2 linked regions of the Saccharomyces cerevisiae S288C genome follow. The protein of the gene in region 1 purifies or fractionates together with the protein of each later gene. This does not show direct contact. Each region holds a gene or a part of one and is shown on either strand. Other genes may lie near its edges.

What was found. The genes of interacting proteins can lie anywhere in the genome.
Region 2: the proteins of LRP1 (region 1) and CSL4 purify together in Saccharomyces cerevisiae (affinity purification with mass spectrometry; 5 studies listed by BioGRID). This does not show direct contact.

What each region holds. Positions count from the first base shown.
Region 1 is NC_001140.6:264,049-271,216, reverse strand, and holds LRP1 (Lrp1p), read right to left. Parts: upstream 3,680-7,168; coding exon 3,125-3,679; downstream 1-3,124. Other genes in the region: putative serine/threonine protein kinase KSP1, read left to right, coding at 1-2,758; LAM4 (Lam4p), read left to right, coding at 4,379-7,168. UniProt on the Saccharomyces cerevisiae protein: Required for exosome-dependent processing of pre-rRNA and small nucleolar RNA (snRNA) precursors. Involved in processing of 35S pre-rRNA at the A0, A1 and A2 sites. Required for activity of RRP6 in 7S pre-rRNA processing.
Region 2 is NC_001146.8:210,644-216,371, reverse strand, and holds CSL4 (exosome non-catalytic core subunit CSL4), read right to left. Parts: upstream 1,450-5,728; coding exon 571-1,449; downstream 1-570. Other genes in the region: PDR16 (phosphatidylinositol transporter), read left to right, coding at 1-385; BNI4 (Bni4p), read right to left, coding at 1,772-4,450; YNL234W (uncharacterized protein), read right to left, coding at 4,859-5,728.

The sequences.
Region 1 (7,168 bases):
AAAGTCCCTAATTTCTTCGAAAGTTAAATCAAGACTATCTAATAACATTTGTCTCGAAGCCATGTATGAAGTTGATATTCAAACAAAAATTGGTAGACACCAAAATATTGCTGCTCTATTAGATTTCTTCGACTCTTACATCATCATGGAATATTGCTCTGGCGGTGACCTATATGAGGCGATCAAAGCCGATGCTGTGCCTAAGAAAACCAAATCGATCACTCATATTATCACACAAATCATGGATGCAATTGAATATGTTCATAACAAGGGCATTTATCATCGTGATATAAAACCTGAGAACATTTTAATTTCTGGAATTGATTGGACAATTAAGCTTACAGATTGGGGATTGGCTACTACAGATAAGACGTCTATGGATAGAAATGTCGGTAGTGAAAGATATATGTCCCCTGAACTTTTTGATAGTAATTTGGATATCAAGGAAAGAAAGGAACCTTATGACTGTGCCAAAGTGGATTTATGGGCTATGGGAATTGTGTTTCTTAATATTGTTTTCCATAAGAATCCTTTTAGTATTGCCAATCAATCCGACAAGTCATTCTGTTATTTTGCTGCTAATAGAGAAGCGTTGTTTGATGTATTTTCGACAATGGCTTATGATTTCTTTCAAGTATTAAGGTATAGTTTAACCATCGATCCGGCTAATAGAGACTTGAAAATGATGAGAACTGAACTACAGAACTTATCTGAGTATACATTAGACGATGAATACTATAATAACTTGGATGAAGGATATGAAGAAACTATGATTGACGGTTTGCCACCTCAGCCTGTTCCTCCATCTTCAGCACCGGTATCATTACCTACTCCTATTTCATCTAGTAACAAACAACATATGCCTGAATTTAAAAAGGATTTCAATTTCAATAATGTGAATGAAAGGAAACGGTCAGATGTCTCTCAAAATCAAAATGTTGCAAGCGGCTTCTTTAAAAAACCGTCTACACAACAACAGAAATTTTTCAACCAGGGTTATAATACAACACTATCTACTCATGAAAGGGCTAAATCTGCTCCTAAGTTCAAATTTAAGAAGCGCAATAAGTACGGAAGAACTGATAATCAATTTTCCAAACCAGTCAATATCGAAGATAGAAAGAAAAGTAAAATTTTGAAAAAATCAAGGAAGCCTCTTGGCATACCAACGCCTAATACACACATGAATAATTTTTTCCACGATTACAAAGCAAGGGATGAATTCAACACCAGAGATTTTTTCACTCCTCCAAGTGTCCAGCACAGGTATATGGAGGGGTTTTCCAACAACAACAATAAACAGTACAGACAGAATCGTAATTACAACAATAATAACAACAACAGCAATAACAATCATGGAAGTAATTATAATAATTTTAACAATGGTAATAGCTATATAAAGGGTTGGAACAAAAACTTTAACAAATACAGAAGACCAAGTTCCTCCAGTTATACCGGTAAGTCACCACTTTCAAGGTACAACATGAGCTATAATCATAACAACAATAGTTCTATAAATGGTTATGCAAGGCGTGGTTCTACGACTACAGTTCAACATTCACCAGGCGCTTATATTCCACCAAATGCCAGGAACCATCACGTAAGCCCAACGAATCAGTTTTTAAGAGTTCCGCAATCAACTGCTCCTGATATCTCTACCGTTTTAGGTGGGAAGCCTTCATACCAGGAACACTACACTCAGGATAGTATGGATTCTGAGGGCGATCACGATTCAGACGACGTTTTATTCACTCTTGAAGAAGGTGATCATGATTTCGTCAATGGTATGGACAACTTATCTATAAATGATCACTTACCGCATACAACGGTAGGTAGCCATAATGAAGTATTTGTTCACGCAAGCACTAATCACAATAACAATGGCAACAACAACCATATCGACACCAATAGTACCACTAATCAATATCATAGACAATATATTCCACCTCCTTTGACAACATCATTGCATATCAACAATAACAATAATGAATCTAATGAACTACCAGATTTACTAAAATCACCAGCATCATCTGAAGCACATTTAAATTTATCTTCTGGACCAATTGATCCAATTTTAACAGGTAATATTGGCAATCGATATTCACACTCATCTGACTCTAAGGAGCTAGAGCAGGAGCGTAGACTCAGTATGGAACAAAAATTTAAAAATGGGGTTTATGTTCCACCTCATCATAGGAAGAGTTTCAACTTGGGAACACAGGTACCTCCTATGAATATGAAGACAAGTAACGAGGCCACGTTGTCAGTTTCGCATAATTCTGTTAATTTTGGTGGATCTTACAATTCCAGGCGTTCCAGTGCTAATGAATCTAACCCACTGCATATGAATAAAGCACTCGAGAAGTTGTCCTCTTCACCAGGAGCTAAAAGCTCCTTCGTTGGCTTCCCTAAACCTTTATTACCTCGTAATCATTCAAGCACTACGATTGCGTTGCAAAATGAAGACGTATTCGCAGACTCTAACAATGACGCCATAATTTTCGAAGACGAAGAATACGAAGGAGAAAGTGACAAGATGGCACATGGCAAAATGGAAGGTGGTGACAACGAATCCTCGTCAACCTCCCCGGATGAAAGGCAAATTTTCGGTCCTTATGAAATTTATGCTCAAACTTTCGCTGGCTCCACTCACGATAAAAAATTAGGAGCTGGCAGGAAGACAAGTATTCAGGATGAAATGGTCGGATCGTTAGAACAATACAAGAATAATTGGTTAATTTTACAGCAACAAGACTAAGCGCACCTATTCCCTCTGTTATGTTGCTTATTATTTTCTTCCCTTCTGAAATGCATTTTTAGCTTTTTTCATCAATTTGGCATCATCGTGCATTTCAACTTCTAAGTATGAATGCTTTTTGGTAGTTAAGCTTGAAGGGTTTTATGAAAACTCTCTTTTCTTAGATATTTCTACAGTCTTATATAACGTCAATTCACACAAAAGTGTTCACTGCCAACTACAAGAATAGCATATACACATATTAGTTACTTCAACGAGTTCTTATTGTTATTATAAAAGTATATAAACCCTATAAGCATTTTTGCATTTGTGCTCTCACATCACCTTTAATCATTTTTTCACTCATGTACCAGTATACGTCGACCTCTACTTCTTCCCTCCTTTCTTTTTTCCAACTTTATCCAATCTTTTACTTTTCTTACTACTTGCTTTCCTTATATGATCGGTACTGTCAATAATCTTAGTCGTTGTACTCTCTGCCAGTTCATCGTTTTCAAATTTCGTATGCTTCCCTTGAAAGTTGCTCCTGCTTATAGAGGGCTCGAATTGGTTTTTATTACCGTCCAAAACATTGGAAATGATATTCTTAGCTTTTTCTTGCTCTGCCTGCGATTTTTCGTTGGATTTGGTTATCCTATTATCGTATTGTTTAGCCTTATCCATGTATGATTTTACTCTTTTCAGTTCGCCGAGTATAGGAGACATATCTTTGACGCCTAGGACTTTCATATTAGCAAACATCAGAGAACTCAATACATACGCGTAACGATTAATTAGTTCTAATTTAGCCCTCTCATCAGATAATAGCAACAGCTGTTCATCCAGTGACTTCGACGTTAGTTTCTCTATTTCTGGTTTCAGCTCGTCTAACGCCTTTGAAAAACTCCTAACGTATGGTTTTATCTTTTCGATATCTTCCATTACTGATCTAATACTCCGTTACGTTGCTAGATATATGTTTATATTAATCGATTTCTACTGTAGGCTGTTAACCAGTTTTTTCTTCCACAGACTACAGAAGGCACAGTCCATAACCATCTGCCTTAGCTCATCGCTGAAAAACTGCACGAGAATTCGTGAAACGTGACATGTTGGGTACCCGCATGAATAGAAAATATGCTAGTAACGACTCTTCTTTACATTCCCATTGCTGGTGTATGTACGCTGATATGAAAATGCTTGCCCAATAAATACCAAGGTTATGACGTTGCCGCTTTGTATTGTCTTCTAATCTAAAAATCTTTCCACGCCAGTAGTGGCTGGCTTTATGCGGCAAAGATCGCTGTTTCTCCTTTTAGAAGTAAATTTCCACGGAGTATGACGGCCGGACGGACCGGCGTAGTTCATTCTAGTCTTAGGGGTCCTTTACCTTGGCAAAAGCATTTCTAAGTGAAACCCTTGCAGGAGTAGAATTGGGCGCAAAGGTCCCTCGTTGGGATCTGTCCTCCTGGGGGACGGTAGGTGGTTGAATGATTCTGCCTTCTTGAAATACGAAATATCAATCTGTTTCTGCTGGCTCACGGTATCTACTGTAATTTCGTTGCTATTGCCATTGATATTAAATTATTGCTACTGTGTGTGGTTCTTACTCTCCATGGATAGTGTTGAAAATATACAGTAATGACTAGAGATTCAAAAAAGAAGCACCATTGGGGCACTGCCTTTTTAAGGACAATTGGAGTCAAACGTAAGCACAAGAAGGATCGTAATTTTTTAAATAATACTACAGGAGAGAATGTTAGCACAACAGCCAGTGCTGAGCGATTCAGAAGAGTAGGAGGAAATCCGGATATTCCGTCTTTACTTAAGCCCGAAACTTTCACGGAATCTCCTGCAAAAGGATCTCAAAAGGCGGCGGCATCTTCCTTAGCGCATAGCCAAGGTGTATTCAATATTCCAATCGTTATAGATCCCATGGAAACAAACAGGCTTGAAAAGACAAACACGAATTTGACGGCAGGTTCATTGAAGGGTCGCTTTCAGGATGGTAACTCGAATTCAAATTCTGTACCAAGTTTATCCGTCCAGGCATTAGAAAAGGAAAAACTGCAAAGTGGGAAACGAGAAGGGTCCAGCAATCAAGCTGAGGAAAAAACTCCAGACGGCCATGATGAACATACCGCCTTTGAAACGTTTCTTTCCTTCGCCCATAATGCCGTAAGCCACATTCCCAAAATAAACGTACAAGACGCTGACAATGGAACAATTTCCAGGAATGAACCAAAGGACAGGAAAAAAAACTCATCTAATATATCAGGAGCCCTTTCCGAAAATAGCACTAACAATAAAAACACTTCATCGACAAAAGAAAGCGATGGCCCATTTTTGAAAAATTTAGACAATATTCTTGCAGCATCCAAATCATCAACTCCAAGTAACCAACAGCTTAATACAACGGAAGCAGGAAGTAAAAGTAAACCATCATCATTATCTAGATTGGCATTTGGAAATTTGAAAGGCCATATTCACTCGAACTCACATTCAAGCTCTAATGCTATCTCAGGAGATGATACATCATTAGATGACACTAGAAAGATGACGGATGATATGGCCAGGAAAGTGGTTTTCGAACCCATCAGGCACTCTCATGATAAGCCTACCCCCGGAGTTGGAAACTTAAAATTAGAGCACTTCGATGATTCTCAAGCTACTCTTGAAGGGTTAGAGGCAATGTCAGCAGAATCGCTGCCAGAGGCGGATCACCTTGACAGCAGAGGCCCGGTACAACAAAGTAATTTGGAAAGAAAAACTGTTCCTTCCAAATGGTCAGTAGTCAGTTCCTCTACAACAGATGGAGTCAAGCCTAGAAGAAGAGCCAAATCAATGATTAGCGCAATGGCAGATAAACAAAACACCAGTAGCGACGTTTTACAAGATTGTAAAAAAAGATTGTCCTTCAACTCCTCTAATGGCCTAACGAATAACGACCCGGAGTATGAAGACCGCGAACCTAGGGAAATGTCCAAGAAGTTTCTTAACAGGAGGTCATTTTCCCCCGGAAGCATTAGCATGGGAATGAAAGTACTACCTTCGACGGCACTGAAATATTCGCTAAACAAAGTAAAAAACAGCACTGATATTGCATCGACCATCATACCGAGACCTAGTATGTCCAACGGTCGTCCATCTTCGGGATTGAGGAGAAGTTCTAGTAAAAGCTTTTCATCTACCCCCGTAAATATCATTGAGCCATCGGAGGAAAATGGTAGACAATCCAGCATTAGAATAAAGGGAGTCGAATACGCGAGCGAAAAGAAAGATGCAGAATTCCATGCAATATTCAAGGACTCTGGTGTCAGCCCCAATGAAAGGTTGATTTTAGACCATAGTTGTGCTTTGTCAAGAGATATCCTTTTGCAAGGCAGAATGTATATTTCTGATCAACATATTGGATTTTATTCGAACATCCTTGGTTGGGTAAGTACCGTTTTTATACCGTTCAAGACAATCGTTCAAATAGAGAAAAGGGCCACAGCAGGAATATTCCCTAATGGGATCGTTATAGACACTTTACACACAAAATACACGTTTGCCTCTTTCACTTCAAGAGATGCTACATATGATTTAATTACTGAAGTATGGAATCAAATAATTTTGGGAAAGAGGTTTCGTAGCAACAGTAATAACACTAATAGCAGCTCCAATTCTATCAGTGATGATGAAAATGACGATTACGATGATGATTACGATGATTATGGAGATGATGATGACGATCTTTACGATAATAGCAATAACATATCTGATTCTACCGACATGACATCAAGCGTCAGCATAGGAAAGCCGGAAGATTTACCCATGCCTCTACAAACAGACACCCCTTATGGAACAGGAATTCCACCACTAGGTCCAAAAATTCACTCACCCACAGAAACAGTATACAAACCAGCGCCCAATGAAAAATTAGTTAACGAATCAACAATACACGCTTCGTTAGGGCGGGTTGTCAATATATTATTCGGGAAAGATGTCAGTTATATTATGGCCATTTTAAAAGCGCAAAAGAATAGTGATATTTCGCCAATCCCTGTTCTCGTTGATTCACCCACGGTTTCTGAAGGTAAAAAGAGAGATTATTCCTACGTAAAAACAACACCAGGTGCCATTGGACCCGGTAAAACTAAATGCATGATAACTGAAACCATTCAACACTTTAACTTAGAGGAGTATGTTCAAGTCTTGCAAACAACAAAAACTCCGGATGTTCCTTCTGGAAATTCATTTTATGTGAGAACAGTTTATCTTTTATCATGGGCAAACAACAATGAAACAAAACTAAAACTGTATGTCTCTGTTGAATGGACAGGTAAAAGCTTGATCAAAAGTCCTATTGAAAAGGGTACATTTGATGGTGTAACGGATGCAACAAAGATATTGGTGGAGGAGCTTGGTAATATTTTAACAAGATCTGCT
Region 2 (5,728 bases), on another chromosome or scaffold:
AGTGCTGCATATTCTACAAACTCATTATCCAGAAAGACTAGGAAAAGCACTTTTGACGAATATTCCTTGGTTAGCATGGACTTTCTTGAAGTTAATTCACCCTTTTATTGACCCACTGACCCGTGAAAAGCTAGTTTTTGATGAACCATTTGTTAAATATGTCCCTAAGAACGAACTAGATTCGTTGTATGGTGGTGATCTGAAATTCAAGTACAATCATGATGTTTATTGGCCAGCTCTGGTGGAAACCGCGCGTGAAAAAAGAGATCATTATTTTAAGAGGTTTCAAAGCTTCGGTGGTATTGTAGGTTTAAGTGAGGTTGATTTAAGAGGTACTCATGAAAAACTTCTTTACCCAGTAAAATCGGAAAGCAGTACCGTGTAAAGGCAAATTTAGATAGATAATGATAATGCACTATAATATATAATAAATAAAAGAGAATAAAAAGTTTAATCACGTTCCCGCTTCTTTTTCCTAACCATCAAAGAATGCAATCTAAAGAAGAAGAAGCGAATACCCTCTTTTAAATATATACGCGTCTATATGCACTGTAGATAAGCTGTTACATATCAAAAAGGTTTGGCACATTTGCGCTTTTCTGTAGCGCCTGTAACCGGTGAAGTCATCATTTGCCAGTCTGTAGCATACATCAATCCACCAGCACCATTAGCAGCTCTGGCGAACACGACCCCAAGGTCATTCCTTGCAGTGGTCAAATAGTAGTTGGTTCCGTCACCTAATGATAAAACTTGCGCCCTAACAATATCTCCCGGCTTGAAACATTCTATCACTTTCACACGATCTCTGTCTGTAGACCGTACATCCTGAGACCTGATTATACCTCTGAATGTCTCACCTAAATCTGATGATGCTTGAGAAACAGAGAACGTAGCTGCTCCAGAACCGCCACCAGCAGCGACTATTCCCGATCCATTACTGCCGATGCCACTATCAATTGGAGATGGTTTATCTTCCACAGCTAAAATTTCGACATTGGCTCGTTGCAACGAAAGCCTTGTCACCCTGGTCAGCACAATATCACCTTCCTTCGGTAGGTTATTGGCAAAATCATTATTAGCATATTTGTTGGTTTTACGACCCTTTTCTGTCCCAGGAAGCACTGAAACCAGAATATTTTTTACAGTTCTTCTTGTGACATCATTAGGTGATGCATCTACTGATTTTTCTTCCTCTGTAGATTGATCAGTGCCTTCACGCTCTTCTTCCTGATCAGTTTTTTTTTCTTCCTCACACCTCACTGTCCCAACTAGTGTAGCAGTTATAGCTTCTAAAGTTCGTCCGTTGTGTTCATATTGAATTAGTTTAGTTCCGGGACCGGGCACATAATTGAAAATTATATCTTCGCCATCTTTATTTTCCGTACCGTACTGTGGGCATATTAGTTTACCTGGATAAGCTATTTCTGGAAACTGAAAATTGCATGCCATTATAATACACTTATAGATTGAGGTATTCAATGCTCTGGAAAAAATCAAAGAATCTTTAATATACAAATGCGTAGTTAATCATGCCGTACCATAAGCTCATCATCAGTGAATTCTGGATCTTATTTTTCTTTCTTTTTTCAATATTTTTTGGAAATTTTTACTTCACGTGACGGAGACGGGTAATGCAGACGGTATTTTGAAATGATGCCGCAAATACAACACATAACACCCAAGATTCTTGCGATAAATTATAGGTTTATAAAAACTAGAATGTCTTGATATGTATGATTTGATTCATTTCCATTTCTCCCAGTTTTCTGCTCTAATAAAAATGTGTGTAACATCGCGAATCATCGTGTACTTCCATTGCGCTCTTTAACTCATTTAATTCCAATTTGATCATTTGAGCCAGTTGTGGAGTAAGCTGGTTACAAGTGGAAATTTCTGGATGTCTATCATATTCGAATTCTCCATAAGTGTCGTAAAGTATTATCTGGGACGAAAACCGGACACCCTGGTCATTATTACTGTTTACATACACCTCACCTAGACTTGTTAAGTCTGATTTTACGGGAGAATCAGGCGTCATGGAGTCAATAAAAGAAGTATTCATTCTTGGGGCTTTTAGTCCTTTAAAGGACATTGAAACAGGTCTATTGGGTTCGAATTCTGGTAAATATGCATTATTTCTTGGAGTAACTTCTATGGGCTGTTCTATGTGTTTGTTGAAATCTTCATTCTCAAATTCGTTGTCATTTATTTCACTTCCGTCTTGTTCAAATGTATGTAATTGACCTTGACGCTCATCTCCGTATGTAGTAGCTCCAGCAGCGGAATAAGATTGAGTTTCTCTTTCTTTGTAACTATCCTCTTTGTTATTTCGTGTATCAAAAGTACCAGAGCGATTTACTTCATCATTTCCAACAGGTTCAGGGGTTTCTGTTGCATATGAGGCCGTTGTATCTCCCAAGTCTAGGTCTAGATTGAGATCATCATCACCGAAGTTAATAAAACTTGCAAACTCCATTATATCAGAAATTAACTCGTTATCATCATCTGCAAAAACGCTTTGCCTTTCAGAATCCTTCTTCAGAGGTTCTTCTCTTGGTTTTGGTACATCCCTTTCAACTTCAGTTTTTTCTTCATCAGAGGCCATCACTAGCTGGTCAAATTTTTGTTCAATAGACTCTAAAAATATGTCATCTTTTTTTAGTGGACCACTATCGTCCTTGATATCTAAAAAGTCCTCATTCGTGGTACCTTCGTAAGAGTGTTCTCTGGAGAAATTATCTGAGTATTCGAACCTTCCATTCTTTAAAATGCTGCTAGCAGGAGACTTCGTCAAGTCTGGAGTAGATAATACAACAGAAGATGCCTCAGTGATGAACATTCCCTCACTTTGCGCTTTGATCGATAGCGTATCTGTCAATGACCTTCTTTGCGAGTTCATTGAACTTCTCTTGTTAGACTTTGTAGATCTTGTTCTTTCTAAAGAAACGATCGAGTCGACTTCATGATTATCCAAAAATTTTGGGAAAAGAACCTCACCTGTATCGTGTTTGGAAAATGCTGGTGAGGGTGCTTCGTAGTCCAGTGATAAAAAATTATCCTTGGTTGGTAATTGAAGATCATTTTTGGCATCATCATCTTCTCTTACGTGTTCTTGTAGCGGGGTATTTATCTGTTTATCACCTCCCAATATGAGATCCATGTTTAAAGGAGTAGGTTTTCTCTGATCAATTGATCTCGTTACGTGATCTATTTTCACGGGAGTATCGTCGTGGTTTTTTCGTAGTAGAGGTGATTCAGTGGATAACACTGATGCGGCGTCAATTATTTGTTCAGTATCTTGCTTTTTGTCCTTGGATTTTGGGGTTCTTTTTTTTTGCCTCATTGGTTCCTTTCGAGGTGAGTCTGATGTTTCAATTTTTCCCTTTAGGAAGGAATTGAAAATGCTACTGCTACTGTGAGACTTCTTCTTTAGTTTTTCAGGCGTTTTTAAAGAGGTTTGAATATTCATTGAGAAAGTGCTCGATGAAGACATCTTATTTTTTTCATTCGTTACACTATTATTACCAATAACTGGTTTCGGTTCTTTCTTCTTCAGAAATGAAAATATACTCTTTTTCTTTTTATGCATAGAAGTGTCTTCAAGTACCGAGCCTGCTGAAGTAGTCCTTTGGGCAGAAGAATCAGTATACTTTCGCGCTTCTGCTTTGTTTAAACGAACTTTTGGGTTGTATAATTTACTCGAAGGAGGCGAGGGTTTCGGATCCTCTTTTAAAAATGGTGCGCTATGTGTTGTGCTTTCAGTTTCTGAATTAATGATAGTATTTTCCTCCCGCTTAACTGGTAAATTGTTGTCTCGTTCGAGAATAGTACGTCGTGTACTAACTTTGCTCCGAGGTCCCTGAGAATCAGGTTTTACTCTAGGAGTGGACAAAAAGTCAGGTTCTTCGAAAGACGGTAAACTCAAAGGGGCAACTTGAATACTATTGGATCCGTCAATGTCAATAAGGTTTGGAGAGGTCATCGCCAAGTTTTCATTTGCTTCCTCTCGTACAGACAGCCTGGATCCAGTTATATCCTCGTGATAATTGATCGAGTTGTTTTGCTCTTCGGCCTCTTCTTCTTCTTCTATTATGGAAGACTCAATATTTTGTGCCTTTCTAGTTTTTTGGTCAGCATATTTGGATCTTTCGTTCAGAATATCAGCCAATGCACTTAATGAGGGGGAAGTTGTCATATTTACCGTTTGTACTTCTGAGTCTCGGGCATTACTTTCTCCAAACGACCGCTGCAGAACTGAGCTTTCAACATCCCTATCAAGGACGGATTCGCATGGCTTTATTGATGAATTTAGACTTTGATCTGATATCTCCTTCAATATCAGAGAATTTCGAAAGGTTCTAGCATGATCAAGTGTATTTATCGACGTCGACGAATAAAAAGTAGAATTTAAAAGTTCTGAGGACTTTGAATCTGAAATACTATCCGACATATTCTGTTGAATACGTAGTGATATATCGTTATTAATAAAAACGCTGCTCGTACGGCTTTTGCACTCTGGTTGTTGAGATTTCTTTGTCAATTTATTTGAGTCGCTTTTCCTGTTGTTTATTTGCAAAGTCAAAACCTGTACTAATAAGCGAACTTGAGGGGGTCAACTCTAAGTGTGAGAATATTACACGTCTTGTTCTAAAGAAGATATAAAGCCAATCTGATTTCTTCGAATCTGAAATGATTTTTCATACTCGGGACGATAGAAGAGAGAAGTTGACTTGACGCGTCTCCGCTGACGCGCCTATATAAGACAAAGATTAGCTCGCGGGTAATAAAGAACAGGCAGTGATCTAAAGAATATATAATATAACCTGGGAAACTTATACACTTAATGGTACGGTTGTAGTTACATAATCGAGCAGTTCTTCTGCTGAGCAGTTTTTTGCAATAAATGGATTTTTTCATCATAATTATTTTTCTTGGTATTACTTTCCACGACGGTACTGCTACCGATGCTTGGTTTTGTACTTCCAGAGCCCTTTGGTGAGATTGGAGGCGTCGATTCACGGTCGCTTTTTATTGGAGTAGAAGAATTGTCTAAGAGTATTTCTGTAGGAATTTTATTTGTCGGTACTTGTGTTATATTATGAGGTATAGTAGCGTTTTTAGTTTTCACCATTTGTAGCTTGTTAACTGTACTTATATCATGCATCGCAAGTTTGGGAATGGAAAAATTTAAAACCACAGAGTCACCATTATACGAAAAATCTGGTTGAATCTTTTCCATTGGGTCCTTCCCTGCAGTAATCATACAATTTGCCAAATATGAGTAAAGTTGTCCCCATAGATTTTTGAGTTCCAGTGTGAGAAAAGATCCAAACCTGTCCTGCAATGTAGTCATAAATGCTTTTCCCATTACTTCGAAACCAACGGTTTTGATGCCGAGAATTCTGGAATGGCGTTTTCCTAATTTCACAATATAATCATCTAGGACATGAACGTTTTCAAGGTTGTCAATAGCAGAATCAAGGACCTTACAGAACGAAACTGCTTGATGTTTTAATGATGGAAAATATTCTTCTAACAAGGGATCCATTGCAATCAAATTGTCATAAAACTGTGAACAAAATAGTGCAGTATCAACCTTGTTATCATTGTCCCTTTGTTTTGTTTTACGTGGCCTGGCAGTAGGGTCAATAGTTTTGGAAATCATACCGTCAGGAGCAGTATTCAAATAGGGTCTTTCTGTTGAAGTAATATGTTTATTGGAATACAG